Linked DNA regions of Arabidopsis thaliana. The protein of the gene in region 1 interacts with the protein of each later gene in a pairwise test. Each region holds a gene or a part of one and is shown in the gene's direction. Other genes may lie near its edges.

Region 1 (13,643 bases):
ATTACTAGATCCGTGTACAAACATTATCGACGAAATTAGCCAACTGAAGAAAATATAAAGGTTTCCTTTTTATGGCTTCTTATTGTTATTCTCTTTTTGTGAAATGTTGTTAGAAAAAGACAAAAAAAGAAATAAAAAGAAATAACGTAATCCCCTTTTTGAAATTAATGTACTGAACATTTCTTAATGCCATCAAAACACTTCGAGTCATGTAGTTTATATTTTCAACTGATATGAGATGGAGTTAATGTTTCTATTTTCAATATTGTTGTTATTTATTAGTTTGGTTGTTAACTAGTTGGAAATAATATGGGTTTAAATATTATTAATTCTCATTAATATATCGTCTGGGATTTTCTTTATCGGAACACTATCCGATTTGAAGATCATGAATTTGTTGGACGGCATCTCAAGTTTTGATTTAAAAAAACATTTTTTAACAACCACACATTTAAATTAAAAAATAAGACTCCTAGTTGATAATTAATTAAATTACCAATAATGATATAAGATATCAAACGAATATTAGTGAGATCTTAACCACTCATCATGCGTATCTCTTAAAACATTTGAACTACTGTCAACTTCGCTTAAGTTCGTGACATGTATTAATTAAAGTGACTATTTAGATCTAAAGTAATGAGATTTTATTAAATAATATGTGGTCGATCTGTTCATATGCTTATGGGTACGTATGAAAAGAAAAGAAACCAAGATTCTGGGGATATGTATAATACTGTGTCGTATCGTGAACTACAAAAGAAAGTGAGATTTTGCAAATTCAAGATTTAAAAATAGAAAGGTGGTTCTCTGCATTGAATCTTAGGCTTTTATCTATGGCAATTTTGTAATATGCTTCTTATTTCCGAAAAAAATATCGTAATTAAATATCATAATCTTGTATAAATAATTTGTCTGACTTCACATTTGCTATGTCATTTACTCATTTGATGATGTGAGGCCTTGTGCTTATGAATTAAATAGTTATTTAAAATTTCAAAATAGTGATGGCATTTGTATGTATGTTTATTTGTGTTAGGGTTATCAACTCATGCACGTACATTCAAACGATCTTTTATTGTGTGGTTACTGGTTAGTATTACCATCTGTTAGTTATTTGGAACTTCTATTTTACCACTTTCGAATCGCCCAAAGGATTGGTTGTATCGAGGTTAGTGCTACTACTTCATATATAGTCTCTCATCTTTGATATATATCGTAGAGATAACAGTTATGTTACTTCTCAATTTTCGCAGTTTTATGTGTGAACAATTCACATAAAATATCGAAATCTAATTCACCAATGTGGTACTGATAGCGTAGAGAATAGTAGGCTAGAAACAACCTAGCAGATTCTGACTATTATAGAGCCCAAAAGATGGTTCTCACCTACCCTTGCTTCATACTTATCTGGTTAGAACTAGGCGATATATATATATTATGCTATTGTATTGGCCTTTATTTTACTATGCCCTTCCGGATTTTCCTTCTAATACAGGTCTAAATGATTCATGGATATGTATTACAGAAAAACTTATTTTCCATACGAGAAAACCCAAGAAAACCTAACAATGGAGTGATACAAAATGTTATAATGAAAGGGAAACAAAAAAATGGCTTGCCCGTGAGAAAAAAAAAATCTCTACTGAAAACATCAGACCCTTGGTCTTTACGGCGGCGAATCATGGTGAAGTTATGATCTACCCCATGAAGTCACTTGAACTTGTTTAAACCAAAGCTACACCTCAATCCATGAATGAACTTTAACACCTATGCACCTTGCTCTCATAACGAAATTTCAAGAAGACTTTGATTTTTTCTGCATCAAGTATACGGTGAGATTAGTTCATTAGAACATCAACCATAGTTATAATGTTGTAAAACACATGAACAAAAATACACCATATCGAACATTGCTAATATTAGTCTTCCATTGATATATGAACTAGAACCATGTGAAATTCTAGTGTTTATAATTATATATGACTTTCACATTAGTTCTTAACTTCTAAGTATATATAAGTTCATGAACAAGAAAACAATAATTGGAGCAACAAACATATGATATCTACAAAAAATACTGTTTTATATCCACTAACATGCAAGGCTTCAATACCACATCTAAAAAGGACAATAATTTGGAAATGAGTTTCTATTTAGCTAAGCTCATATAACGAATGAAGAGCTCGGGTAAAAGAGATCATACGATGAGGAAGTTCTTTAGGACTACGAATGGTATGTTTCTGCATGATTAGTACCCCGTCGAAAGTATCAAATCCTCAACTAGCTTCTGCTGCAACCATAATAAGTCTATGCATCCGAAACTATTAACCTGTATTGAATATAGTTAAATGTAATGAAACCCTAGATTAACTTCCATTGACATGGCATGTTGACATGTTGTAACCAACCATACCTCTACTTGAATAGTGTGCATGAGCCTATCATTGACTCTTGTAGTGAAGGAGCTCATGACTTCAAGCCCTTTCTCCTGAATTGTCTCGAGCACTTTTGATAGTGGCAAAGCTTCGGGGCCTGAGGAGTTGCTGCTCACTACCACTTCTAAACCGCTCACGTGTGGTTGCACCATCACAGTCGCCGGCTCCGATTTGCCTACATCGGATCCAGTTTTTCCTGGATCCGGATTCGATTTATATCCTTGGCCGGTTTCTCTACTTAACTCGTCTCTTCTTGCACTAAGTTCTTTAATCCGTGCTTCCGTGTCCTTAATGAAATTTACCGCTCCATTTACATGATCCGACACAGCTCTTTTTCCCTATAAATAAAGATTAAATACAAAACTAAATTAAATACAAAAAACGACATATTCACAACCCTAGCAGCCAAATCTCACCAAATCTTGGTTTCTTCGAACAATTGATATAACGAAAAAGTAAATAAATTTGAGAGAAAAGAGTGAGTAATTAAGAATATGAACCTTGATGTATTTAAGAGGTAAGTGAGTACGAAGAGTAGCAAAGAGTGTAGCCATTTCTTGTCTTCTTTGGCGTTCGATGTCGCGGTGGAGAAGCTTCTTCTTCTTCTTATTGTCATCTGTTTCATGGGCCGTACCGGAGCCGCCGCTGCCGCCACTCTCGCCGGCTGAGCTAAACGGTCTCTGTCTCTGGTAACCTTTTGGATTAAGATTCTTATAAGGATCCATAGTTTGACACTTTGAGCTTTACCAGTGTCAGATCTCCAAAGGATTTTGTGGTTCTGTCTTGTGATAATTTAATTTCCTTTATTGTTTACTTGTTGAATGATGGTGCCTTAAAGAACCAGATGGTTCTCTATGTCTCCTTAGGTGAGAGGGAGGACCATTATTTAAATATTAAATAGATACACAGTAGGAGGACCAAATAATGCAGGTTACGGAATTACTCTTTTTTTTTTTTTAAATAAAATTGAAATAGTTATCAGTTTTTTTTTATTTCATTTATGGGATGAGCCTCGGGCTTGATTTGTAACAAACTAGTAGAATACAACTTATAGTCAATATATATACATAACAAAATAAAATCCTCTACAGTTTATTTAATTAAGAGAATTAAAACACATAATTATAAATTTTTGAAATTAATGTCAACTTAATAATTTATACCCTCCAAACAGCTTTTGTCATACCATCATCCAACACAAAATTTCCTTTATGTGAAATACCATTGCGAATCCATCTCTTTCCATGAAATACAGAATTAGTATCTAAAACGCAAACTGTTGGAAAAAAAAAAAAACCATAATGCACATTTTCTCTAAAACAAAATTATATTCTCATACAACTAGGAGGAACTGGAGAATATAACTATTTGACAAATGTCGACGTGAAAGTGCAACCATGTCTTAAGATTCGGATACATGAAAACAAAACCTCAAATCTCAACCGTTGATGATGTTGCGATGGTCGCATGTGGGCTCCGATCCTTTCTTTTTATTTGCACCTGCTCACACTGCAACTAGTCTTTTCACATGTTTATTAAACGTCCATATCCATTGCGTATCAGATATATAATGCTAAAGATATACTGTTCTTAAGAAGATACTATTTCAATATAATATGCTTTGAATATAAAAACCATGACATCCCTCCACAGTTTCCATTATTAAAAAATAATCCTTTTGGTAAAGGTTATCCTTTCAAGGCAAAGCAAATCCTTCTTCTCTGTCACGAATCCCTTGTTTTTTATATATATGTATATACGCATATTAAGAGCCACTATACTATAAAAGATAATCTCGTTGGATGTTTGACCAAAGTCTTTTCTTTAGGGATGTGTGTTGTATGCTGATATGCTCAATATACGCCATAAGCCATATTATGCCTGATATTAGCAACTTTTATAAACCAGATAAATTTGTAAAAAGAGAAAAATTTCATTCACTTATACTATACATTACGTTAAGAAAATGGATAGAGTTTTAAAGTTATAAGAGCTGGTATATAACAGTTTATATACAGTAATATTATTACATGCGTACAACCGCAATAATGTTTGCATATTATAGTCATGATAAAACAAGTTAACTATTTATTATGTAAATTATTTTTAAGACACGTTTCTGCTATAGTTTTATTACATGAGATGCATTTTTCCTATATCCCAAAAAGTACTATCTGATAGTTTTAATCTTATAAAATTAAAATTAGAAGCACGTTGTTATATTTACGTGTATGACCAAATGTCGAATCATGTCAACTCGATGATTGTCGGAAAATATGGATTATGCAAAGTTAAATTATTCCCTATCAGGCGATCGTACACACATGCCTTGTAGGAGTCACGACTAAACTAAAGACATCTCTTTAGACTTGTATATCTGACGGTTGCGAATAGAAGCCGCTATTTCTACAGTAACAACCAATTATTTCTGCAATAAAAAGTTTTAACCAATGATTTTTTTTATTTTTTTTATTTAAGTTCGTTCAAACGAATTAAAATATGTGTTTGGGGCGAAGTATCCTAATGATGTGGTAAATTATACAATTATATATTGCTCTTTTAAATAATTGTATTGTATTTCAATAGTTATTCGTAATAGATCGTTACAACAACATATTTACAATATATCTCCAGCTAAGTTCTCTATATTGACGCTATATTATTTATTAGGGTCATCAAAATTTATGATGAACTTTAGTTCTAAATAGATATGATTTCAAAATTTAAGAAAAGAAAAAAACAAATTGTGAGTTTTAAACAGAATCACCAAATATAAACGACTTTGGCCATGTGTTAAAAGATCACATTTTCTAGACCCTACTTGGCTAATTAATTCCGCCCAAAACCCCAAAGCTGGTCACTGTAGAAAACTAAACCAAAGTTTTCTCACTCTCTCTTTTTTTTTCAACAACCAAGTTTTCTCACTCATTTTAGTTGCTGAAATTGTTTACCAAAATTTAAGTCTAAGAGAAAAGTCAACAGTTCCAGAGTTCAAATATTTAAATCGATCATAGATATGTAGCGGTTTTCAACTAAGCGGCATATAATATACATTCCCTATGTTTTACTTTTTGCATCGACTTTATAGTCATTAGCTAATTTGTGATTACAGATCTGGAGTGCGTATCACACAACCCTAATTAACCATTTTCAAGATTCAAATTTGATAATTTTGTAACAGTGCGTACACAACAAAGTAAGTTTGTAACAGTTCTTTTTGTCAACCAAAAGTACTTTCTAACAGAAACATTACATATTATTTTTAAAAAATATCCGTCGCTGATAAATTCGCAAATTGTTACTTTTAGAAAAACGAATTTCACATGTTTAGATTTCTCTGAAAAATGGTTTTTCCTTTGCCTCATGTTTCTTGTCTTTTGCATATTGCAAATCAATTTCCGACTCAAATTTTCAGTATTATATAATCTCAAAATCTGTTAATCATTTTTTTTTCTTTTTAACCATTTTGTGTATACCCATCAATCGATGAGTTTTTAGAAAGTTAATATTATTTCATTTTTCTTTTCGTGTATTCGTCCGGAAACAATTTTAGTTTGAAGGCTTATACTATCTATCAGAATTTTTGTTCAAAATACTATTCTATCATCTATTTGATGCTACTCACACCAACAATAGTAAATTAATTATACCATTAATTCTATGTGTACGAATTAAATTCCACCATTCTCTTAATTATATCCTAACTCGACAGATTACGTACATCTTCAGATAAGAATGTTATATGACTTATATATAGGAGCAGAGACGTCTAGAAATAAGAAGGCCTCATGCGGTAATCCTCAAAATAATAGTCATTGTCCCTAATGAACAAAAGATAGAGTAAACTAATATATTTTCTTGAAAGATAATTTGTTTTCATAAGATATTTAATCAAATTTTCAAAATGAAGATTTTTTTCTGTGAATAAACAAGATAGTCAAAACATCAATGATAAAGAAAAAGTTTAGATGGACCATAGTTTATATAATATGTAAGAGATGGTTGTGATATTAAAGCTAGCTAGCATTAGTTTCTTACGCACAAATTCTTTAAAGTAGCTAGATAAATACACAGTAAAAGTACTAAGAACCATATATATACATCGTTTTGGTTTGAGAAGTTAAAAGGAATCTACTGAAAAAAAACGTTTGATTATTTGAATTACTTCATCAGGGTAAGTGTATCCTTAAGGTCTGCTAAGTCGATCAAAGCCAGATCGTTGACCTGCAACATAAGGCAAATCAACTTCACATATTAACTCAACATAAGGCAAATCAACTTCACATATTAACTCAAACATATATATTCATTACTCTGATACAATAAGCCATTCCAAAAAGCTATGAAGAAGATGTATGCTATATTCTATATTCCATTCCAAATTAGGACATAAACGCGTTTGTAAGCCGACAAGATCGAAAACATTAACAAAGTTAGAAATATATGTTATGATTAAGTATTTCTCTATATTCTTAGTAAAGTTAGTTAGAAATATATGTTATGATTAAGTATTTCTCTATATTCTTAGTAAAGTTAGTAATGCTTCGATTGCTGTAAAGTTAGTAAGCTCGAGATATTGTACCTCAGCCTGTAGAGTATGAATGAGTCTATCATTTACACTGGAACAGATGTAGCCAAGAACATAGAGACCGTGTTCACGAAGCACTTGCAGAACGCTTGAGAATGGCGTTTGGAGAATGCTCAACACTATCTCTATGCCGACCAAACACGGACGAATCACGACATGATTCGAAATCTCATTCCATTCTTGTTCATTACTACTCCTAAAGCTTCGTCCAGACAATAACACGAGGTCATCTCTCTTGGAATTTATGTCTTTGATATTCCTTTGCAAATAGTCTATGTAATTCACTGCCCCTTTCACCTGATCTGACGTTGAACGTTTTCCCTACAAAACCAAATCAAACGTAATTAAGGTGTAGAGGTCAACTTGAGATATTGTGATGATAGAGTGTTAGAGTTCTAGTGAATCTTTTTAACAAACTAAGCGACAAAGCATACTTGTGGACTTTTTCCTTAACAAAAAAAAAAGAAGAAGAAGAGGAAGAAATTAAAAGCAAGAGTAATTAGGGTTTTGACCTGGATGAACTCTAAAGGGAGAAGAGAGCGGAGAGACGCGTAGAGAGAAGCCATTTCTTGTCTCCTTCGTTTCTCAATTTCTTTATGTACTAACTTCTCCATGTTTTCTTCGTTATTACAAACTCTCGGCGTTTTACTACGCCTTCTTTTCTTCTCCTGAAAATTATTCATCTAGAAGTCGTTATACGTTAATTATTTTGAACAACGATTCTTCTTGTAATTATGATTATAATAATGATGATGATGATGAGACAGAAGGATCTGATCTTGTGCTCTGGGATTTGCTCTAGTCAGGGATTTGTTGTAAAGTTGAATAATATGGGAGTCGGAAAAAAAAAAGATATGGGAGTCGGAAAAAAGATAGTAAAAGGGTTTGGTTATAATATTAAAAACTAAGAGAAAAAAATACTAAGTTATTGGTAGACGTATCGGAAAAAGATGGAGAGAGAGGTTTGTTAGGGTAAGCAATGACGTCTTTCTGCTTCATCATTAATTTCTTCTCTTTTTAATAGGTTCCCTTCAACATTCCATATCTTAATATTTATCATTTTTAAAGTATTCTTTAGAGATCGTACAATTTATATGTTTATTTTCTTATTGTATACACATACTATATGATATATCAATTGTACGACGATCTACTATATATCCTAGATATCTCTGACATAGGTACCATATAATTATTTTTATATATACTATAGACTGCAAGGCCATATGCTGGATCGTATTCCTAAAAATCATTGAATAGCACTTTAAATTATGAGAAAATATGATTTATTTTATGTTATAAAATATATAGGAAATAATGTACTATAGTTTATAAGAATTAGTTACTGCTCTTTTTTTGTCAACTGGTATTGTATTAAGAGACGATTGTTTGATACAACACATACCCACCAAAGAGGTGAAAGAGCCAGACATATGAAAATGAAACAACATCCTCAACCTTTACTCAAGCCATACTACCATCAAAACTCAAATTTAATCAGAACACAAAGCCCTTTCCTCAGCAAATACACCATCGATCGAGCCAAGTAGGATGACTAACCGCCACATACGATTGTAACATGCACTCGTATAAGCAATGATATAAGTCATTGTTTCTAGTCGAAAGCAAATGATTTTTGTTGTTGTTATTATTTAAAATATTGAAAAACACTTAAAATGAAAAACAAACCAACATTCTATAACGCCTTGCATTTATTCATTAAAAACTGTTGCATTTTCAATTTGTTTTCTAAACATTACAACAACTTTTTGAAAAAATGCAGAATACTATGTTTTATGAAATGTTATAAGGGATTTCTTAATCCGAAAATAATTAAGTAGTAGTAAATATTTTAAACTGTTTATGTATGATTTTTTTTTTAATAATTGAGTTTCATCTGAATCTGATACATTTAAAAATAAAAAGCATGCATGTTCCAAATATCTAGTATTTTTAAAAAACTGGGCCAAATTATGGATAGACCATACTCTATATAAGGGCCAAATAATAATAAGAAGAAAAATTCAATAAATCTTGGTGATTTTAAGTAGAAACGAATAAGAAAAATCGAAGATGGCCCATGTCCATATATAAAGAACACAAACTGCTGACTCCTAACGTGACCCAATTTGGTATCTTCATTTCATTTAACTCGATTGGAAGTGGTTTGTTAACTGATTAGGCCCATAGGATTTGTGTGACCTTTAAATGACTTTTGGAGGTGGAAAAAGTTTTAGCCTTTTCTTTCTGCTAATAATCCAATCCCGAGCAACTCCGATTTGAAGAAGTGTTGTATGACATATTGACATCGAAGTATAAACGTGTAAAAAAAAAATCAATGTCAATAATGCGTGTGAAACTATAGAAAGAGAAATTGGAAAGTATAGTGAAATTGAATCAAAGTTCCTAAAACTAGCGGTGTAACACTTGAATAATAATAATCAAAATGATTCCTAAATTAGTCAACGGCGCTGCTTCCTCGTTGTCTTTAATGGTGGCGATGGTGAGAACTCACTAGGCAACTCTGGTAGATTCACTTCTCCTTTAAGCATTCCCAAGACCTCTTTCATTGACGGTCGTGAAATCGGTAATCTTTGCAGACACAACAAAGCCACCTTTATGCACAACACTGCTTGTTCTTGGTCTAAGTTTTGCAACTTTTGATCCACAAGATCAACAAGTTTTCCTCTTCTCGCCAACTTCCTCGCCCAAGACATGAGGTTTGCCCGTTGTATCTCACTCGCGGAGCCCGTCATCTCCAACGGGCGCCTCCCGGAAATCAGAACTAACAACAGAACACCGTAGCTATAGACATCACATTTCTCTGACACGTTGTTGTCCAAGTTACAGTACTCAGGAGCTGCATAGCACACAGTCCCTCTCATGCTCGGCGTGCTACTAATTCCGCAGCTCTTAGCTATCTCACCGCTCACCGAGTCATGGCTATTTCCCCTTGCTCTCAACCATCGTTCACCACTTAACCCATCTAACCACCAATCTATGCTGCTACCACTACCACTACCACGCCGCCATTGACTCACACTACTACTCCCATCATCACTACAAAACTCGGCTTCTAAAGTCATCTTCTTCTTCTTCTTCCTTTTCTTAGCGAGTTCTCTACGATACTCATCTTTCCACCACTCTCTAACCATCCTCCGCTTCTTCTTCTTCTTATTCTCATCCTCTTCCTCCAATGACAACCACCAATCTAGTCTCTTGCTAGTCTTCTTCTCAAGTTTCTTACTTGACGAAGAAGACAAAGCTGCCGCCTCAATCCAATCACTTCTGCTTGGTCTCTCCTTCTTTACCTCTGAACCAATCCATTGCATTACATACTCTTTCACTCTCCCTCTTTCAACATTGCTCTCCTGCTTCCACCACCAATCTTTGCTCTCACTCTCTTTCCCCTTCTTCATCACCACAACACTACCACCATCCTCATCCGTTTTCTCTCCCATTTCCGGAGAAACAGAGACAACCGTCGTCGCCTCAGGAGAAGCACTCACAGACCCAGGAACCTTAGCAACACTCTCCGGAGACTGATCAACCAACCCAAAGTTAAAATCTTCATAACCAGTCACAGTAGTTACCACACTCTCTACTTCTTCAACCATAGATCCATCACCATCACGCTCCGGAGCTACACTAATCTCCACTTGCTCTGCTTTCAACCTAGCCAAACCAAAATCAGCGATTTTGGCAGAGAAGAGACTATCTAATAGAACATTGCTAGGCTTAATATCACCATGAATCACAGGTGGTTCAAGACTATGAAGATGCTTAATCCCATCGGCAATGTTAACGGCAACCAAAAACCTCCGATTCCAATCCATAAGCTCAGGGCATCTCCGGTGAAGCAAGGCGTCTTGGAGATTACCATTGTCCATAAGCTTGTAAACAAGAAGCAAACGTCGTCGTTTTCGATCATGAGAGAAACCAATAACAGGGACAACGTGAGGCGAGTCAAGCTTGGCGGCGAAGAACAACTCGTTCTGAAACTCACCTTCTCCTTGAAGAGATCCTGAATCCATTACTTTAACAGCTACATTCTCGCCGCCGGAGATAGTTCCACGAAACACGACGCCAAATCCGCCCTGACCTAGTCTATTCGCCTGCGAGAAAGAACCGGTGGCGCGACGGAGAGACGAATATGAAAACTCACGTGGCGACGGTCTCCGAGGCGAAGAGGAAGCGTTTTCCGCCGGAGGTGATGAACGTTTCCGGCTGAATTTACAGAAACAGACGGAGAGAGTGATGAAAAGAGAGAAACCGGCGCCGGCTCCAGCCACCACGAACGGTGGAAAGATTCGCGTTGTCTTATTCTGATGTCCTGACGGCGCTGCTGGGACTAAAGAGGAAACGATCGGAGCCGGAGCAAGAACCGGAACCGGTGCCGAGATTGATCGTGACGGCATAGAGATTTAGTAAACCGAAGCTGAACCATACACAGAGGAGATTTTCAAAGACAAATTGTTGCTTTTTGTGTTTGTTTCAGTTTTTAGACTAAAATCGGAAAAGAGAGAAAACGTTTTGAGCTGTTGCGGAAATGGAAAATAAATTTCTATACATTTAATTGATCATTGATTAAATCATTACATCATGGTTTATAACGTGTTAAGGTTGCGAATTTTGATTGGTTAAACCGAATGAATACTAATCCAAAGTCCAAACACACAGACAAATCCAAAACCTGTTATTCTTTCTATATCAAACAAGAACCATAGAAAGAATAACTGACCAATATTTTATTTATTTATCGTTTTTTGAATGAGAAAACTCAAATTCAAATTCAGACGAAGCCAAAACATATACCCGGATAATGAAACCGGAACCGGGTTAGACCCACGTGAAGATTTAAATGCTAGACTGTTGTTGCGTGGCTTTTTGATAGACAATAAATAATTTAATTAGTAACGCGTTTAGGTGTAATTTGATAATGAAACTAAACAAGGTATTCCAAATTCACGTGCGGTGGTGGGGAGGCCATCAAAGATCACCATGTGGAATTGTCTAATTTGGTATTTTACTTGAAACTAATTAATTACTCCTTAAGATAGTGAAAACGGCACGCAACTCTTTTCTGTATTTAGAAAACGAACCGACGTTTTAGAAACTACCAGGAAGCTGCTGTTGTCTAAATTATCATCAAGTTGGATTAGTTATTTATTTGGTTTGTCTTTTTTTTCTTACATTAGTCAACGTTTTTCTTTATTGGATTTATGACTGTTCGAAGAGGATTAAACACGTCTTCTCAGTTTCCTTATTATGAAATATCTCTCAGCGTTTCTATTGTAACTTTTCCTTTCTTAGTTATATGAGGAAAGGAAAATCAATAACTTGCAATAAGAATCGTTAGCAAACACTTATCGAACGTAGATGACTATTACAAAAGAGGAAACACTTACCGAATTGTATTAAAAAAGGGAAACTTAATTGCACTACACAATTCCAGAAGAACTAAGAACAATAGACATCCTCTATATATTTAGATTTTAGAGTCATTGATAGAGCTCACACAAAATATTGAATTATATTGACTCTCATATAACAACTATCGCAAGAAGTAGAAGAAAGAAGATGGTGAACGAAACAGAAGCATTACCATGCGAGGGAGGCTGTGGACTCTACGGCACCCGAGTGAACAACAATCTATGCTCTCTCTGCTACAAAAAGAGTGTTCTTCAACACTCGCCCGCTTTAAGATTCGAACCCGAGACCGAGCAATCACAGTGTTGCCCTCCTACGAATAGTCCCGCCGTTGAAGAAGAACCGGTCAAAAAAAGGAGATGTGGGATATGTAAGAGGAAGGTAGGAATGTTGGGATTCAAGTGTAGATGTGGACACATGTTTTGCGGGTCACATCGTTATCCGGAGGAGCATTCTTGTCCCTTTGATTACAAACAATCTGGACGGCTCGCCTTGGCCACACAGTTGCCTTTGATCAGAGCTGACAAGTTGCAGAGGTTTTAGTGATATGTGTCGTAGATGTTTAGATTCCTTGGCTAAGATTTTGATGTTGTTAAATTCTTTGTACCAGTAATAATATAAGTTCTTTTAGCTAAACAAAACACCCTGAACTGAAGAGAGATTCAAAACAAGCAAGCCATCTTTCCATTTCAATGGTCAATTAAATTAACCAAAAATTCACAAGCTAGAAACAAAACTGAACTTTGTCAAAACTTTATTGTCACGACTCACTGATCAAACCCTAAACAAAACGTATCGGCTCTGTATCACACTGCAAAAACTTGTGAACATGAAATCCATAATATCACAACAAATCATTAAAACGCTTGTTTATACATATGCTTGGATTAACTACAAATTGGATTCGTGATTTCAAATGCGTTTTATGTATATTATAATCTTATGAGCTTAGACGAATAAGGTCATCGGTTTGTTTCCTGTCTACATAATAAGGTTATAGTTAGAAGAATGATGATCACTTGACCACTTAACTACATTTAGTGTGTAGTTTCTGTATCCAGCCTAATAATTCCGTTTAGTGTGTAGTTTTCAGTATTGAGCCTAAAATGTATGTTTAAGACTCAGCACAAACACTTGCTGACGTGTGGTTACTTACTAGCATTATTGCTAATACCATGTCAAAACTT
Region 2 (18,328 bases), on another chromosome or scaffold:
AGATCGCCCTTTCAGCTCTTCCTCGCGACGTTGTCTTTCCATTCTGATGGAGTCAATACAGTGCATCGTCAGAAAGAGAAATAATTTTCAGTCATGAACCATTGAAAATAAAAACAAAAATTGCAAAGAAAGACAAGCCAAAATACCTCCTTTGCACAAGACGGATAAAATGTTGAGGTGGTACAAAAGCGCGTTCCATATCAACTAGTGCAACCACCATTTTCTTGGCTTCATTCTTGAAACCATCAAGTGCTGCACTTGCTATAGCTACAACCTGGTTGATGATTAGTCAGAAAGGAATAACTGTTACCGAAATGATAAAATATTACTGAATAAAGCACCAAAAAATCATTATTACCTCTCGCTTGAAAGGAGGATATCTCCCAAGTCCAGGTGTAGCATTTGCAGAAGCTGAAACTATGTCAACAAGAACTCGGTGAACCTAATCAAAAGTTAAGACCATGTTAGCTCAACACGTAAATAAGACAGAAGCTGGATGCATGAGTTTTAAAGTAGGAACCAAAAAATAGCTACATCTACGGTAAGGGATATTAACTTACTAAGGCTTATAAACCAGAAAACTTGACAGAACTCTAAATAACAGTTCGAAGAATTAAAGTGAGACAAGCCATAGCCAGTTCACAATGCAGTAAATTTCTAAAATTCAATCCTACTGCATGTACCTAAAAAAACATGTAAACAAGCACACCTCATCAACACAAAGGCGTGCCGGGTCTTTAGCCAACTCAAGGACAATCTTTATCAACGATCTCAACCCTTTCTCTGGAGATATAAGATAAGGTTGATAACCATCTGCCTCCAAAACAACCTGAAAATCAAAGATATTTTGACAAATCAAGTCTCAAAACTTGTCTCGTGCAGAAACTTAGGACAGAAGAAGACACCCACCCTTTTAACATTGTTCAGGTCAAAATGTCTATCCAATGGAAGCTGCTTGATACGGTTGGGGAAATTTCCTTCAAAACTTGCAACAACTTTCCAACCACTTCCCTGAACAAGAATCAAAAAGTTTTGAGAAAAACATTTGCCAAGCTCCAAAAGGGACTTCAGCCCATAAACTGAACACAGACAAGTACAAAAACTCTATATCAAACACTCAGTTGGCTTATACACATATTATAAACATCCACTATCAGATTCATGAGATTCCCAACAATATAATGTGCTCTTACCAAGCGTAGGCTAGCAAGAGACTTTCCACTACACTAGTACCAAATCTGAAATGGCTGATTGCTAATATTTGAAGAGTTCTTCTCTCTCACTATATTCTTGAATTTTCGACTAAATCTAGTTAACTTTTGTAAGAATGTACTTACTTCACCACCAGCCAAGTGCAGAAGAAACTTGTCTTCAAACTCACGGCAAAGCTCCAAAGCTATAGCCCTTGTACCTTCAGCACTGTTAACTAGTTGTTCACCAAGCCTCGCTAGCTCATCCTGCACTATTTGAGACTTACCCTGGAGCCTGTACAAAGAATTTGAAAGCCATATGCGTTCAAGCAACCAATGTCATATGCCAACACCATAATAAAAATCATGAAGAAAGCACATATATGGAGAGAAGCAATACCCAGACAGGACACTTGGAAGCCTGAGCTTCATTCTGCTACGAATCTGGCTAGCAAGGGTATCCACCAACGCAATTCTGCCAAGCTTGCTTTGTGGAGCCCCAGTCAAAATGGACTTAAGACTTTCACTCTCAGCACGCCAAGCAGTTTCTAAGGAGTTCTCACCACTTCCAGACTGTGCTGACGCAATTGAAACGGATTGGCCAATAACAGCAACCCATGGAATGTCAGTTGTTTTTGGAGGTCCTTGATTTGAAAGAAGAGCCTGAACAGCTGCAAGGGCTTTCGAGTTCTCTGCTGCCTGGTCAATTTTTCCAATAATGCCTATTGTCCTAGTACCTATAAGTAGGGAGGAGTGATGTTAGCTAATGAGTATTTTAAGCAAACTGAAGTGATAATAGGTAGGTAAATCAACAGTTCTTATCAGGTATACAAATAATAAACAATATTAAGATAAGACAGATCGGAAATACAGATGTACTCACTCTCTGGATCATACTCCTTTGCAATCTTCAGGGCTCGGGATGATGAAATTTCAGATGCCTGGCTAGCAGGCACTATAACCAGCAGTATGGCATCATTGTGTTGCGCGTATTCAGCAATCTTGCAAAGAGACCCAAGAAACAAACAACAATTTCAAAAGGATAAACATGATAATGAATCTATATTATCACTTCAGTAGGAAACCGATAAAAATAGTCAAAATCTTTTGTTTCGTGGTTGTCAGGCAAGTTAAGGATATGACAATGGCATTAAGTAGTTCCAAGCCTCACCATTGACTCGTCCACAATTCTCTGGTCCAGTCCAGGCAGATCAACTAATTTCAATGGTGGAGCTGCAATGTAAAGGGTAAACGTAACAGGTTATGATGGTCAAAGAAAATTTAATACTACGAAACTGTCGGTCATATGTCATATGTCATAACTCATGTTCAAAAGAGTGTGTACTGTTTATGTTAAAGCTCCGTTAGATATTTAATCTGATACCCACCAAAGTAAAGCTAGAAGCTCTAAACTAGTGTACTAGATAGTATATAAGGATAGCAAGATATTACAGCTGACCAGTTCACGGGTATCAAAGATAAATTCATACACCCAACTTAGGTTAGCTAAGGATGTGCTATTTGAAGAGTAGATATAGGCTTGCCACTTATGATTGTGCAAGTAAAAAGGGGCTTACCTGTGCTGGTACGAAGTTTTAAGTTTATTTCATCACGATTCTTCCCTGAGGCTCCTTTGCTAAGTCTATCTTGCAGAGAATGTCTCAAAGCACCTAAAATATACCCATGTAGAACACAATGGAGATATTATGAGAAGACTGATCGAAATTTTTTTATCATAAATGCAGAAAGAGCCTCACATAGCATTGCTAAATTGCATATGTTCATAGATAGAGACTTACTTGCAGAAACTTGTTGAGATTTATTGTCGATTTGCAAGATAATTGCCTTGCTGCTCAAAGAACTCTCCCTGCTCAATTCAATTATTATAGGAGCTCGTGTAGCACCATTCTCACCCGTCGGCTGTGTATAGTAAGTGTAGCAGACACAACAGAGGTCAGTATTAGTATAAGAAAAGGAGTAAGCCAATAATAACCATAGACTCAATGTACAACTTACCAGCACTGGATGCCCAATTAGACTGTTTAGAACTGCAGACTTTCCAGCTCCCTGGTTCAGTATGCAAAAAGAGATAAGTAACAAATAACAAAATACATCAGCCTTCTCCGGCACGAGTCGCTCCTCATGTAACCATATATCCACTAATAAAGAGAATCCCAACAAAACTAGCTATAAACGATGAGTGTGTCCTAGCAAAATTCGATAAAAACCTAATCTAGATCCAGAAGATCCACGATATGGCAATCCAACATACACTCGAACACAGAATAAAACCAGCACGAGCCTAAAGAGAGGAAAATCGAGGAGCGTGGAGTGAGAGCGAGGAACTCACCACATTTCCCAAGGCAACGACGTTGAGGAAAGTGGCAGGGCGCTTGGAAGAAGAGGTTTCGTCGGGATCTTCGTCGGCGAGGAGAGACGCCGCCTGCTTCATCGAATCTGAGAGCTGAGACAACTCATCGATCGCCTCCATCGCGACTAGCAAAAGCCCTCCGCGAATCGAGATCGAGTAACCGATTCAAAGTGAAGAGATCTGGAGGAAGAAGGAAGCCACTCGATTAGATCTGAGCAGACCGGAACCGAAATCGGCGGCAATAGGCGGGGTCTTTCCCGGTGAGACGATGGGCCGGAATTTGGAATCCGGTCGCGATGGTGTTAAGCTAAGATTTTTCGTTGGGGATTTCGTAAGGGAAGGCAGAAATGAGCGAAGACGAGGTCATAAAGAGGACGTACGTAAGATTTCACAATTACACGGGACAAGATTCAAATTTCAAAAGACTTACAAAAATCATATCTTTCTAATTTTTTTCTGATCGGTCTCAAGTGCTTCTTCTTTTTCTTACTTAAAAAAAAAAAAAAAAAAACAATGTGATGTGAAATACACATAAAAAAATAAAAAAAAATTATCAGTTCATTTAACAATTTATCATCTATTAGATCCATTCATATAACATTAGATGATGTTGGAATCCCACATTACTAAATCAATGTGAAGGTTCAAATAAAAATGTAATCAAATGTTGTTGTGGATCTCGTTGTTGTTCATATAGTTCTCGCGACATAATTTACCTCAAGGGAAGGCAAACAAAAAATCTATTCACAAGGTGTAACTATTTTCGTAAACTATTATAGTTTTTTTTTGGACAAACAACCCCTACTAAAATCTATTTGGTGTATGTTTTTTGAATAATTGATCCTACCAACCTAATTTTTTTGAACTATATGTGTTTTTTGTTGCCTGAATCTCATCTTCCCTTCTTTAGAACTGTTGTCTATCATCATACCTTCCAACATCTTAGGACTAGTTTGGCAATGTTGACAATTCTTTGTGATGTATGACAAGTATAATTATAAGGAAAAAATAAATAAACATTGGACATAAAAATCAGAAATTTCCAAGCTAACTATATGAAATTTCTAGGCACATTTCTTGGTTCTTTTGATACCATTTCTTTTTCCTTTTGGACATCTGGATATCATATTGTTTGTTTGGGATACTAGTTCTTCCCAAGTTTTTAATCTTAATTAGCTGCTTTGGATCCTTAATAGAAAAATAAACATTTCATATATTCCGGAAATTAGTATAGCCATCGGTTTTAGATTTTCTGGTGATTAAGATATAAGAAGATATTTTTTCAAATATAATAATGAAAAAACAAAATCTACAAATCATTAAAAAGGAAAAAAAAAATCAAAATTAGAATACAATACATTGTCTCAATACTATAACATAACCAAAAGAAGCATCAATAAATTTTACTAATAGTTAATAAGTACAGAAAAAATCGAAAAATTCTAGAAATGTTAAAAGTAATTTTTTTAAAAATAGTAAGGATATAGAAATTAGATAATCAATAAGTTTGACTACTGGATATCTAGAATTATTTCTATAAAAAAAAAAGTGAAATGTCGGACCAAAGAGTTGACGAGCACTAAACCACGTCACAATTAAACGTGGGCCCTCCGGCCCAATAACTTAAAACCAATAGATTATTCCCATCTGGCAAGATCTGCGGACTTTGAACTCGTTATGCTTTTCGACGTGGAGTTTTAAACTCAATTAATCTAATTAAATTAAGCATAACATTCCAATTAATTTTGTTCTTTTATATATATAAGATCAAAATCAACCACACACACACATAGATTTCAACTGGAAGAAACAAAAGACCAGATTTGTTTATGTTTCTTCTTCTTCTTCTTCCTCTCTGCATGAAATTCAGTTTCTGATCTGTTTCAGTCATCGTTTCTCACTTTCCTCGAAGATTTCCACAGATCCAATTTCCATTTATCCACTTACCTTTTTCGATTTCGTTTGATCCTTGGATTTAATTATATGTTACAAATTTAGGAAATTTCTCGAGGAGATTGAATGCAATGGATTTGTGCTTGAAACAATCAGATTCTCTTTGAATCATAAGAATGTTTCCCTGAAACTTTATTTTTGGGGAACAGAGATCATCACTGTGTTGTTGTTTGGGTAGACAAGTTTTGAGTTTCTCGAACAATGGCGAGAGGAGGGAAAGAGGAAGGAGAAAAACACATAGGGTTACTAAAGCTGGCGCAAACGCTGTCGTTTTTGCTAATTTTCATGGCTGGAATCATCATCGGTCTCGCCGCAAGTTCTCACATCGATCGCTACTTCAATTCTTTGCCGAGGATGTTCTCATCAACCACTAACCTCCAATCGATTCCTTTTTCGACTCCTGATTACTCCAATTGCACAATCATCCACCGAGACTGCACAGGTAACGACGACAACGAGAGCGACGACGGAGGAGTCAAGGCGGAGAAACCAAAGGTTCGAGATTGTTGGAGCATTGATGGGTTTGTTCGGCCAGAGAATCTGAGTCATGGAATGACTGATGATGAGTTGTTCTGGAGAGCTTCGATGGTTCCGGTGAAGGAAGAGTATCCGTACGATAGGGTTCCGAAAGTGGCGTTTATGTTTCTGACGAGAGGGCCTTTACCTATGCTTCCGCTTTGGGAGAAGTTTTTTAAAGGCAATGAAAAGTACTTGTCCGTTTATGTTCATACGCCTCCTGGATACGACATGAATGTCTCTCGTGATTCTCCCTTTTACGACCGCCAGATCCCCAGCCAGGTACGTTTTGATGCAGGACAGTGAACTTTTTGTGTCTTGCTTGTGTTCTTCAGTGGATCAGAACAAAACAAATACTTAGTTTCACCAGTGACTTAATCTTGTATACAAGAACAGAGTAATAGATAAGTAGATAAGAAATATAGTCATTCTGGATCATGGAGATCTAGTTCTCTAGAGGAACAACATGTAGATCTAATCGGCATGATGGAATCCAAGTTACACTGGCGCGTGACTATTTGAGATTGTTTATAGGATTTGAACCTTTTAATTGTTTCTTCCACTGTCAGCTACATCTGTTTCAAGGTTGTGTATTAGATGAAGCTTTGTTACTAATTTTGCTATTATGTGATTATTTGGAACATAGCTGGTTTTAGTTTAATGATCGGGAACAGCTTTTATTATAGAGGTGATCTGCTTAGCTGTGATCTGCTTAGCTGTGAACTAGGAAACTATAAAAGACTAATTCATAGACACATTATATAAGCTTCTCTTGTTGATTTTTACACCTTTTATTGTAGTAATCCCTTTAATTTTCTCTGTATGTCACAATGATCCTGGTAATTGCATAACGCTTTGTTTGGTTCTTCAACTTGGTCATCTGATGAATCATGGATGGTCTGTGTCATTGTATGCTAGATCTACTTGATAAAAAAATCTAAAGAATTCTGTCTGGTTCTGATGGGTTTTTTATACTTGAATTTTTTAGAGAGTTGAATGGGGATCCCCACTATTGACAGACGCAGAGAAGCGTCTTCTAGCCAATGCATTGCTGGACTTCTCAAATGAGCGTTTTGTTCTTCTCTCAGAGAGCTGTGTCCCAGTTTACAACTTCTCAACTGTCTACACTTACCTAATAAACTCTGCTTACAGTTTTGTGGACTCTTATGATGAGCCAACACGTTATGGCCGTGGCCGTTATAGCCGCAAGATGCTCCCGGATATCAAACTCCATCACTGGCGCAAAGGGTCTCAGTGGTTTGAAGTAAACCGTAAAATCGCCATCTACATCATCTCAGACTCGAAATACTACTCATTGTTCAAACAATTCTGCAGACCAGCTTGTTACCCAGACGAGCATTACATCCCTACTTTCTTGAACATGTTTCACGGTTCAATGAACGCAAATAGAAGCGTGACATGGGTTGATTGGTCCATAGGCGGTCCCCATCCAGCTACATATGCTGCAGCTAATATCACAGAAGGGTTTCTCCAATCTATAAGGAAAAACGAGACGGATTGTCTTTACAATGAAGAGCCAACTTCGTTATGCTTCCTTTTTGCTCGCAAGTTCTCTCCTTCTGCCTTAGCTCCTCTTATGAATTTGAGCTCTACTGTCCTGGGGTTTTGAGAAAAAACAAACTGATTCATTTCTCCTCTTCTTTCTTCTTTTATAGGGATGAGATGAGATTCTTCTACGAGATATATAATATACATAACATAGGACTCTTTTTCTTTCTTATATAGTTTTATTCTTTTGGTTATAATCTCTTCATTATTTGGGGTTTTATAGAGATGATCGTAATGGTCAAGCCTTTTGTATGTAAGAGTTTTGCTTCTGCCGACCTGCAGAGCTAATCTAGTTGTAGATTTACGAATATATTATTCATTTTGATCACTTTTTGGAAGAAATGGAATTTAATGTTTTGATCGAATTACTGATTTTGAATTCCATTACTCTTTAGAAGCCATTGGCTTCAAAAGAACCATACATACAAGTGAAGAAGCAAGGGCAACGAACGTAGTAGATTATGATGTTGATCCTAAAGAAATAACTACTAGAGTTTGCAAAAAATAGGAACCACAAAGCAAAAGCCAAATTAACTATGAGGAGAATGGTGGTGCAGAAGAAATAGCGAGTTTGTCAAACTAGTTCCTCAACTCCACTACCTTTTTTTCTTGTGTCTCTTGGCACTCATGGGAAGGCCCTGGCTCCTGTTGTTGAGGAAGATGACTGTCCACAGAGTTTGACCACGGTGTCTGATTAGCCACCTCTCCTGGCACGGGATTTAACCACTGTGACTGCTGATGGCTAGCTGTCTGATTAGACCACTGTTGCTGCGCTGTCCACCCTGACTGCTGGCCAGCTGTCTGGTTAGCCCACTGCTGTTGCTGGCCGGTTGTCTGATTTCCCCACCCTTGTTGCTGGCCGGTTGTCTGATTAGCCCATGGTTGCTGCTGGCTAGGAGTCTGATTAGCCCATGATTGCTGATGACCAGTGTTCTGATTAGCCCACGGTTGCTGGTGACCATTATTCTGATTAGCCCATTGTTGCTGCTGGCCAGGCGTTTGATTAGCCCACTGTTGCTGCTGGCCAGGCGTCTGATTAGCCAATTGTTGCTGCTGACCAGGCGTTTGATTAGCCCACTGTTGCTGCTGACCAGGCGTCTGATTAGCCCAAGGTTGCTGCTGGCCAGCTGTCTGATTAGTCCATGATTGCTGATGACCTGAAGGACTTGACCACCCCGATTGCTGAGACCAAGATTGCTGCTGTTGATATCCCGGTGCCTGTCTCGACCATGACGGTGGCTGTTGCCCTGCCGTCTGATTCGACCACGATTGTTGCTGCTGGTTATCAGACGTGTTGGACCAAGAGGGATTCTGGCCATTATTAGCCTTGTAAGCTCCTCCTGCTGTTTGACCTGCAGTTCCATTGGCCCAACCTGAATTGGAATGCACCACTCCTTGGCTCGTCCATGGGGCCCTGTCTCTAGGCTGCTGCGGAGCTGCAGGTGTGGTTCCAAACACTGCGGGTACCCTAGGTGGAGTGTTACCAGACTGCCCAGCGTTTCTAACCGGCCGGGCAACAGAGTTCAAAATTTTCTCAATCTCCTCACGACGTCCTGCCTTCTCAAAAACCTCAATGATGAATTCCCGCAGCACAGTAGTAACCCCAACATTATGTCTAATCATCTCACCAACAATGTCCTTGGCTTGGTCAAGTGCATCACCATCACAAAGACCTCTAACCACCACATCATAAATGGAAGGATCTGGTTTTGGTTCCCTCTCTCCCATCTTAGTCAAAACTTCTGCAGATTCCGTGAGCTTACCATTCTTAATCAGCTCACCAAAGACTCTTGCACCGAAATCAGCAACCACCCGTAGATTCACATCAACCATCCTGTCCAACATCTTGACAGCATCGTCAATTCTCTCTGCCTTGAGATAAGCATCGATCATTGCTCTATGACTTGGAGCATCAGCAGGCAAAGATCTAGATACACCTTCAGCAAAGAACCTTTCAGCTTCTGTTAACATCCCTTGTTCACAGAATCTTGTTACTATGTTACAGTAACCTAAATAATCCATCACAAACGGTTTGGAGGTGACCTTACTTCCGACCTTCTTGAATGTATTAATAGCTTCACTAAACTCTCCCATCTTGAAACATTCATTGACCATTATACCAACCGTATCCGAATTCACCGAAAGGATATTCGGAGGAGCGTGATTATCCAACATCTCATTAAACAAAGCCCAAGCTTCATCCTTCTTACCAAACTTAAGAAACACTTCCAAAAGTACATTACCAGTCGGTGGATGCATTCTGAATTTCTTATCTAACAAAGACCTGTAAGACTCCATAGCTTCCTTATCGTTCCCTTTCTCAAACCAGTACTCCATAAAGGTAGCATTCACAATCCCATCATAAACAGTACACTTAGACTTCAATTCATCAAAGAACTCAACAGCCTTATCGAAATCACCAAGGTCCAAATATCCCCTAATCAGATTGTTGTACACCGTGGAATCCGCAGCTTGACCTTTGCTCAACATCTCCCTTAATAAACTCGCAGCATCTCCGATCCTTCCAGCTTGAACCAAACCTTTGGTCAAATGTCTATAAGTAACTGAGGATGGAGCAAAAGGAGCATTAGCCAATATGTGTCTGTACACTTCAAGGGCTTCGTCGACATTCCCTTCATCACAATGAGCGTTGATGATCTGATTGTATGAGACTACATTGGGGACGATGTTAGACTGCTTAAAGAAATACTGAAATAGAGAAATCGATTCACTGTAACGCTTGGCTCGGTACATAGCGGCGATGATGGCGTTACAGGTGAAGACAGTAGGTCGAGTATTGGAAAACACAGACTGGCGAGCGAGCTTTGATGCAGCGTCGAGATCTGATGCTCTGATCAGTGATTGGACTCTGTTGTGAAGGTTAAGCCTTTGGCCGACGAGAGCGGAAGTTGAATCCGGAAGCCGTGGCGCGTTGGGATCACGTTTTGGAGGAGGAGCTGAAGGATCGCGACGGAGAGCGTGGAGAGGAGGTTCAATTCGGAGACGACGTTTACGGCGGCGGCGCTCAGCAGCGGCTTCTTCGGCTGAAGAGAAGGCCATGGTACGATGCGGGATGGGTGGATAGGGAATTGGAGGGGTGTGATTCTGAGGAATCTGGAATTGGGAAGGATCATTTGGAATGGGATTAAGGTTTGGGTATTTCTCTGAATCCTGATTATTACCAGTGGTCGTCTCCGGATCTTCATTTGCCGGGGAAAGTGAGATGTTGTGGATGCGTTGGTGGAGGAACGAGATGGAAAGAGGGCTACGGGTAGTGGTAGTGGTTGTACAGAGACGGCGGAGGAGGTGACTGAGAGACATGGTGGAGGGAAAATGATTTAGGGTTTTAGAGGTTAGAGGAAGACGAAACCAATGACGATGGTGGGAGTAGAGAGAGCGAGCTCGTGGCTTAAACCCTTGGATGTGAAGAAATGGGACTTTTATTAAAAAGTAATGTCGAAATGAAAATTAAAGGACGACGTCGTAGTGTTTAAATGAGGGCTGTTTGGTAATACGTGTAATGTTATTCCAAAGACAAGTAAAGAAAGGTTGGATTATTTAGGGCTTCTCCTTCAAAGGCCCAAACGATATTAACAGACCATAATACGTGTCTCAAATAATCCATAGCTGGTGAGATGCCAACCACTAAGCATGCACTCTGCATATGGATGGTTGTTGGAAAGTTTCCATCCTAGTGAGGAAATATCACTTGAAGAAGTCGAGAAATTTTGCCATGCATGTCGTGGTTTGTGTGAGTGCAAAACTAGCGTGGGTTCTGATGATACAATAAAGGTGTGATCGTGGGGTTTAAAATTTAGGACCATAATAGGCTTTTTGTGAAAATTGCAGATATGGGTCCGGGAAGTAAATAACAGTTTTGGAAAAGTTCCAGTATCTTTATGAAAAACTCGGCATCACATTCAAACTCGGTATTGACTCATATTCAAAACGAGTCCATAATAAAGAAAAAAATCAAACTTTCTTGAAACTGAAACTTTATACGAAAATGTTCGAACTGCATGCATACTAGTTTTTGAAGAAAGATCATTAACAGTATTAAAGATATATGTGAAATTTTATATGAAAAGATGCTCATATAACGTGAAAACAGGAATTTGTTGAACTTTACATGGAACAAATCATGATTTACTTCTTGTTCATCTTCTTCTTAAACATCTCCATGCCCCATATTTTGACAGCCTCAAAGCCCTATGTTATATAAAGAGGGAAAATCTTTGCAATATCCTTGGCGTTATCTTCGTTTTTCATCTTGATGAGATCGGTGTTTGGGGTGACCTTCTTCTTCTTCTCTTCCACGGTAGTGATTGCTTCTCGACAAAAAGACTTCAGCGAAATGAACTAGAACAACTTGGAAGATCCTTTGTGAACTGTTTTCGTCGTGGTGATCTGGGTAACGACAAGAGAATCTTAATCGCTTGAAACCATTTTTTTGTGGAGAAAAGTTTATCAGGAAAAGAAACAAGAAGGGATTGATCATACGATATGTAACGATATATATAATGATATTAAAGGGGTAAGACCATGTACATAGCTGATATAATCAGAGTATCAGAAGCCCATCAATAATTGTTTAATGGATCAGAGTATACAGTTGGACCTGATCAGAGTGGAATGATACTTCTAATACCCAGTATCGAGTGACGTGACGGCAACTGATTCGTCAGGAAAAAACAGAGAAAAAAAAAATTCTAAAAAATCACATATACCCATACTTTATGAGTATCATCTATAACCATAAAAGATCATTAAAAATCATTGAAAAAATTTAAATAATAAATAATACTAAAAAATGTTTAATAATACTTTATGAGTATCACTTATAACCATGCTCTAAATTTATACTCGTGAACATATTAAACGGGCCTCATCTGGCCCGGCCCATAATTTGTTGGCTAGGCATAGGGAAGCGTTTTGGCCTTTTTTTCCAAAAACAATTTTTGCTTTGATGAAATTAAAACTATTAATACACAAAAAAAAAATGTTCACTTTTACTTTTAGGCGATGGCGAGAGGATGTCAGTAATTGGGTTACTGAATCGGAATACTGTTATTGGAGTCGTTCGTTGTGTTTTTACGGTCAATTTGGTTCTATTCAGATATGGTTATCTCCGGTTTTGGATTTGAAATCTCAGATACAGCGGCGGATTCACAGAGTTCCCCGAGTGCTGCTGCGACTGATGGTTTTGGAGCCGATTTCCTAGCATGTATGAATATGTCCTGGGACAAGTTCGAGACGGACAAATAAACGAGACCATATGTTTGCTGCAGCTGACAAGTCTCACTCAGCTTTCTTGTTGATTGATGAGATATAAGAGCAGATGGGATTAGCTGGATATGTGCAGGAAACTGAGATGGTATGCATATAAGTTAAACAAATCGTTGGAGCATATAAGCAGACACAAACAATCAGTTGTAGCCGCAGAGGCATTCCTTTGCTCATTGTGAGATTTGGCAGATCTGGAGCACTAACCATTCGTAGTCTATTGACAATCACACCTGATTCTTATCCCAGGTGATTTTGCTACAATTGTGGGAAGTTTGGACATTATGCTTCTGAATGTAAAGCTCCTAGCAACAAAACATTTGAGGAGAAGGCCAACTACGTTGAAGAAAAAATTCAAGAAGAAGACATGTTATTAATGGCTAGCTACAAGAAAGATGAACAAGAAGAGAATCATAAGTGGTACCTCGATAGTGGTGCAAGTAATCACATGTGCGGGAGAAAAAGTATGTTCGCGGAGCTTGATGAATCGGTGAGAGGAAATGTGGCTTTAGGAGATGAATCGAAGATGGAGGTAAAAGGTAAAGGAAACATTCTTATTCGATTGAAGAATGGAGATCATCAATTTATTTCCAACGGTTACTATATTCCGAGCATGAAGACAAACATCTTGAGCCTTGGACAACTCTTAGAGAAAGGTTATGATATTAGATTAAAAGATAATAACCTTTCAATAAGAGACCAAGAAAGCAATCTCATTACCAAGGTGCCAATGTCGAAAAATAGAATGTTTGTCCTCAACATTCGAAATGACATTGCACAATGTCTTAAGATGTGTTACAAAGAGGAGTCTTGGCTATGGCATCTTCGATTCGGACATCTAAATTTTGGAGGATTGGAGTTGCTTTCAAGGAAGGAAATGGTGAGAGGGCTACCTTGTATAAATCATCCAAAGCAAGGTTGTGAAGTTGTATTCAAGTTTAAAGCAAAGTAATAAAAGTTCTATTTCCTAAAAAACTCTCTCAAAACACTTAAACACTTTCTCCATTACCTCTAAAAGAATTTTACTCTAACAGATTTATCTTCCAAGTTAATAGCTTTACTTGAAAAACGATTCCTTACTGATATTCAAAGCATAACACGTCTAGGTTCATGGATGCACTCTATAATTTACTTGACGGTTCTATTGACGACAATACAAAGTTTGAAGATGAGTGCCGAGCTATTTTTGGAGCACAGTCATATGTTCTTTTCACATTGGACAAGCTAGTTCAGAAGTTTGTTAAGCATGTAAGCAAAACTAGTGTCTTGTCTTCTTGACTCTCTACTTCCATTCTCTCTCTTTCATCTGATCACTGGGATGGTTTTTGGAAATGCTTCAGCTCCATGCAGTTGCATCTGATGAAACAGACACCAAGCTTCTGCAACTACATGCGTATGAGAACTACAGAAAACTTTGGGAAGATGATTTGATCTAGTGTATCATGAGAATGCATGTGCCATCCTCCATGAGGCAAAGATATACCAAAGAGCAACACTCCAATCGTTACATTGGTTAACCGCTGGAGCGTTTTGGAGCCCGAGAATGCCAGCTCATCCACTTTAGAGCCAATTGGTCAGATAGAAGCGAGCAATTCAAAAATAATAAAAATGAAAATTACCGAACGACGTCGTATTGATAAATGGGGGCTGTTTGGTAGTACGTGTAATGTTGTTCTAAATACGAGTAGGGAAGAGGCGTAAGATAACAAGATGCGTAGGAGAAAGGAAAGGATTATTGTCACTTGCCTGCGCAAATTAGGGCTTCTCCTTCGCAAGACTCTCTTCGCCAGCTTAAATCAGTGTACTCTCTCTTTCTCTGTCTCTATCTCTTGCAACTTCTCTGTTTCTAATCTCTTCACGCATTTGTGTATCAAGGAGTCATTTTTTAACAGAATATGAACATATTTGAAAATTCGAATCATGCGAGTTTTATTGAAAGCTTATGTTCTTGTGATGATTTCAAACTTTTCGAAAACAGCGACTTTCAAATTTCTTCAGAAACTATGAAAACCCTATCTTGTAATTGCCATTATCGGCATCCAAAATGTGCTTAGCTCGGAAAATTCGAATTGAATTAGCTTCGAAAGCTCCTAATTACATTAGAAAATTCAATCTTTATACGAAATTTTTGAATTCTGAATCTTTCTAGCTTCGTACTCATGAGTTTAAAAGCTTGTTACAGATTATGTAGCACTTCATTGGAGATTATCTGGTTATTGTAGATAGTAATGTTACAGAGTCTCATAAGTGCTGTTGTTATGTGCTTGTCAGGCAAAGTGCTGAATATACCTTAGGAGCTAAATGTCGGATGATCCTGGACAGATGTTGCTCATCTATGATGATCCTTCAGATCAGCGATCCTTGTCTTTAGATGATGCTAGTAGTACTGAGGAATCTCCAGACGATAACAATCTCTCTTTAGAAGCAGTTCACAATGCCATTCCCTATCTCGGACAAATTTTCCTTACACATGATACTGCTTACGAGTTCTATAGTACATTTGCAAAGCGTTGCGGGTTCTCCATACGCCGTCACAGGACAGAAGGAAAAGACGGAGTTGGCAAAGGACTTACTAGGCGCTACTTTGTTTGTCACCGTGCTGGTAACACACCTATCAAAACTCTAAGCGAAGGAAAACCACAGAGAAACAGAAGGTCTTCTCGATGTGGATGTCAAGCATACTTAAGGATTAGTAAACTTACTGAGTTAGGTTCAACGGAATGGCGTGTTACTGGTTTTGCTAATCACCACAATCATGAGCTCTTAGAACCAAACCAAGTTCGTTTTCTTCCTGCGTACAGGTCCATATCAGATGCAGATAAAAGTCGGATTTTGATGTTTTCCAAGACAGGAATTTCAGTTCAGCAGATGATGAGGCTCTTGGAGCTTGAGAAGTGTGTCGAGCCAGGATTTTTACCATTCACCGAAAAGGATGTCAGGAATTTGCTTCAGTCATTCAAGAAACTCGATCCTGAGGATGAGAACATTGATTTCCTGAGGATGTGCCAAAGCATAAAGGAGAAAGACCCTAACTTTAAGTTCGAGTTTACTTTGGATGCAAATGATAAGTTAGAAAATATTGCCTGGTCGTATGCTTCTTCCATTCAGTCATATGAACTCTTTGGAGATGCTGTTGTTTTCGATACAACACATCGCTTAAGTGCTGTTGAGATGCCACTTGGAATATGGGTTGGAGTTAATAACTATGGTGTCCCTTGCTTCTTCGGTTGTGTGCTTCTACGGGATGAAAATTTGAGATCGTGGTCATGGGCACTACAGGTTTGTGGCACACTAAGCTGATTAAGTTCCTTGTCCACTTATTTCTGTTTAAAATTCTTGGCAATTGTCTGTGGGTAGGGCGAATAAGCAAATCAATTTGTATTTGTTGTAGAAGTTATTTGTAGAAGCTCCTATATCCAAAAAGCAAATCAATTTTGTTTGTACTCTGACATTTTCTTTAATTTGTCTCTTATGGAAGGCATTCACAGGGTTCATGAATGGGAAGGCACCTCAAACGATATTAACAGACCATAATATGTGTCTCAAAGAAGCCATAGCTGGAGAGATGCCAGCCACTAAGCATGCACTCTGCATATGGATGGTTGTTGGAAAGTTTCCATCCTGGTTTAATGCCGGTCTTGGGGAGCGGTACAACGACTGGAAAGCTGAATTTTATCGCCTCTACCATCTGGAATCCGTTGAGGAGTTTGAGTTGGGTTGGAGAGACATGGTGAACTCTTTTGGACTGCACACAAACAGACACATCAACAACTTGTATGCCTCACGTTCCTTGTGGTCTTTACCATACCTGAGAAGCCATTTTCTAGCTGGAATGACTTTGACTGGCCGATCCAAAGCCATTAACGCCTTTATTCAGAGGTTCTTGAGCGCACAAACCCGGCTAGCTCACTTTGTAGAACAAGTATGTTCTCTTCTCCTTCTGACAGTGTTTATTCATTGCTAGTGAAATGAGTTATTTCAAGCTCTTAGGCCTTCTATGCAGTAATTGTTCAAGCATTTATTTTATAGGGTTTATGCATTTTAATCTCATGAAATGGTACTGTACGTGTGTTGAGTTTGCTATTTTTGCTTATTTGAGTTATGGGTGAATATGCAGGTGGCTGTTGTTGTGGATTTTAAAGACCAAGCTACAGAACAGCAAACAATGCAGCAGAATCTCCAAAACATCAGCCTAAAAACTGGCGCCCCCATGGAATCTCACGCAGCCTCGGTGCTCACTCCTTTTGCATTCTCCAAGCTCCAAGAACAGCTTGTGCTTGCTGCTCACTACGCATCGTTCCAGATGGATGAGGGGTATCTCGTGAGGCACCACACAAAACTCGATGGAGGAAGAAAAGTGTATTGGGTTCCTCAAGAAGGCATCATAAGCTGCAGTTGCCAACTGTTTGAGTTCTCTGGGTTTCTCTGCAGGCACGCACTCCGTGTTCTCTCCACAGGAAACTGTTTTCAGGTCCCTGATAGGTATCTTCCACTTAGGTGGCGCAGGATCAGCACGTCGTTTAGCAAGACGTTCAGAAGTAACGCTGAGGATCATGGAGAGAGAGTTCAGCTTCTGCAGAATCTGGTTTCGACTCTGGTCTCAGAATCGGCTAAATCGAAGGAGAGGCTAGATATTGCAACTGAGCAAACCTCCATCCTCTTATCCCGTATCAGAGAGCAGCCTGTCTCCTCACTTGCTATCAGAGACATTTCTTCTTCTGTGCAGAGGAATTTTTGATACCACAAATGCTATGCGTGTCTAACTATTTTTAGATAACATAATTACTTTATTAACCTAATCTTACAAGATTGTAACTCTTATCTTAACTTATGCATTGTTAAAAATATCAATCTTATATTCGTTGACAAAAAAAAGAAAGATAAGTCAACCTTAAATTCGTCGTGTTCGACGAAATAGTACCATGATGTCCAAAATTCCCATTAATAAGATTATGCATTCAAATGAGCCCGTGATTCTCACAAAGCCCAAATCCTTACCAATACGTCAACGACAACAAAGATGGTCGCACAGAGTGGGTCCTCTCGATGAGCGCTGTCATACACGCGTCGATCATTCATTTGCCACTAATTAGAATTTTGAAAATTTTCTGGAGAGAACTAAAATAGATAACCGGCCAGATAATAGAATTGATTTACGACCGGTTCTACTAGTATCTTCGTTTTCAATTGAAGAACAATAGAAGAACACACTGATTATTTTTTTTAGGCTTTTGAACAAGATCGAGAATCGAATTAGAACGCTAATAGAGCAAGAACAACATTGGTCAATCTACAAAGAATATTACTTGAGACCAAGTCGATAACGAAAAGATGAACCCATTCACGAAATCTAAGAGGGGGGAGAAGAGAAACCCTAAATTGTGCAATTCGAAACGAAATTCTGCAAACCCTAAAGTTGGATTACTCATTAAAAGTCCAAGCATTC

The links.
Region 2: the proteins of SAP10 (region 1) and FRS11 interact in binary tests that used the Arabidopsis thaliana proteins (3 or more experiments, as listed by UniProt).

The regions. Positions count from the first base shown.
Region 1 is NC_003075.7:12,975,292-12,988,934, reverse strand, and holds SAP10 (stress-associated protein 10), read left to right. Parts: upstream 1-12,296; 5' UTR 12,297-12,606; coding exon 12,607-12,999; 3' UTR 13,000-13,087; downstream 13,088-13,643. Other genes in the region: AT4G25410 (basic helix-loop-helix (bHLH) DNA-binding superfamily protein), read right to left, coding at 2,252-2,332, 2,417-2,776, 2,939-3,163; AT4G25400 (basic helix-loop-helix (bHLH) DNA-binding superfamily protein), read right to left, coding at 6,955-7,347, 7,539-7,709; AT4G25390 (Protein kinase superfamily protein), read right to left, coding at 9,489-11,444. UniProt on the Arabidopsis thaliana protein: May be involved in environmental stress response.
Region 2 is NC_003070.9:3,356,127-3,374,454, reverse strand, and holds FRS11 (FAR1-related sequence 11), read left to right. Parts: upstream 1-14,601; 5' UTR 14,602-14,683; exon of another isoform or gene 14,684-15,153; 5' UTR 15,154-15,183; coding exon 15,184-16,161; intron 16,162-16,360; coding exon 16,361-16,804; intron 16,805-16,999; coding exon 17,000-17,620; 3' UTR 17,621-17,828; downstream 17,829-18,328. Other genes in the region: ADL6 (dynamin-like protein 6), read right to left, coding at 1-43, 147-274, 359-442, 710-829, 910-1,011, 1,338-1,485, 1,591-1,927, 2,074-2,191 and 5 more; AT1G10280 (Core-2/I-branching beta-1,6-N-acetylglucosaminyltransferase family protein), read left to right, coding at 5,716-6,312, 7,019-7,660; GRP23 (glutamine-rich protein 23), read right to left, coding at 8,179-10,920; AT1G10250 (paired amphipathic helix Sin3-like protein), read left to right, coding at 13,993-14,130, 14,223-14,318; SK18 (E3 ubiquitin ligase SCF complex subunit SKP1/ASK1 family protein), read right to left, coding at 18,304-18,328. UniProt on the Arabidopsis thaliana protein: Putative transcription activator involved in regulating light control of development.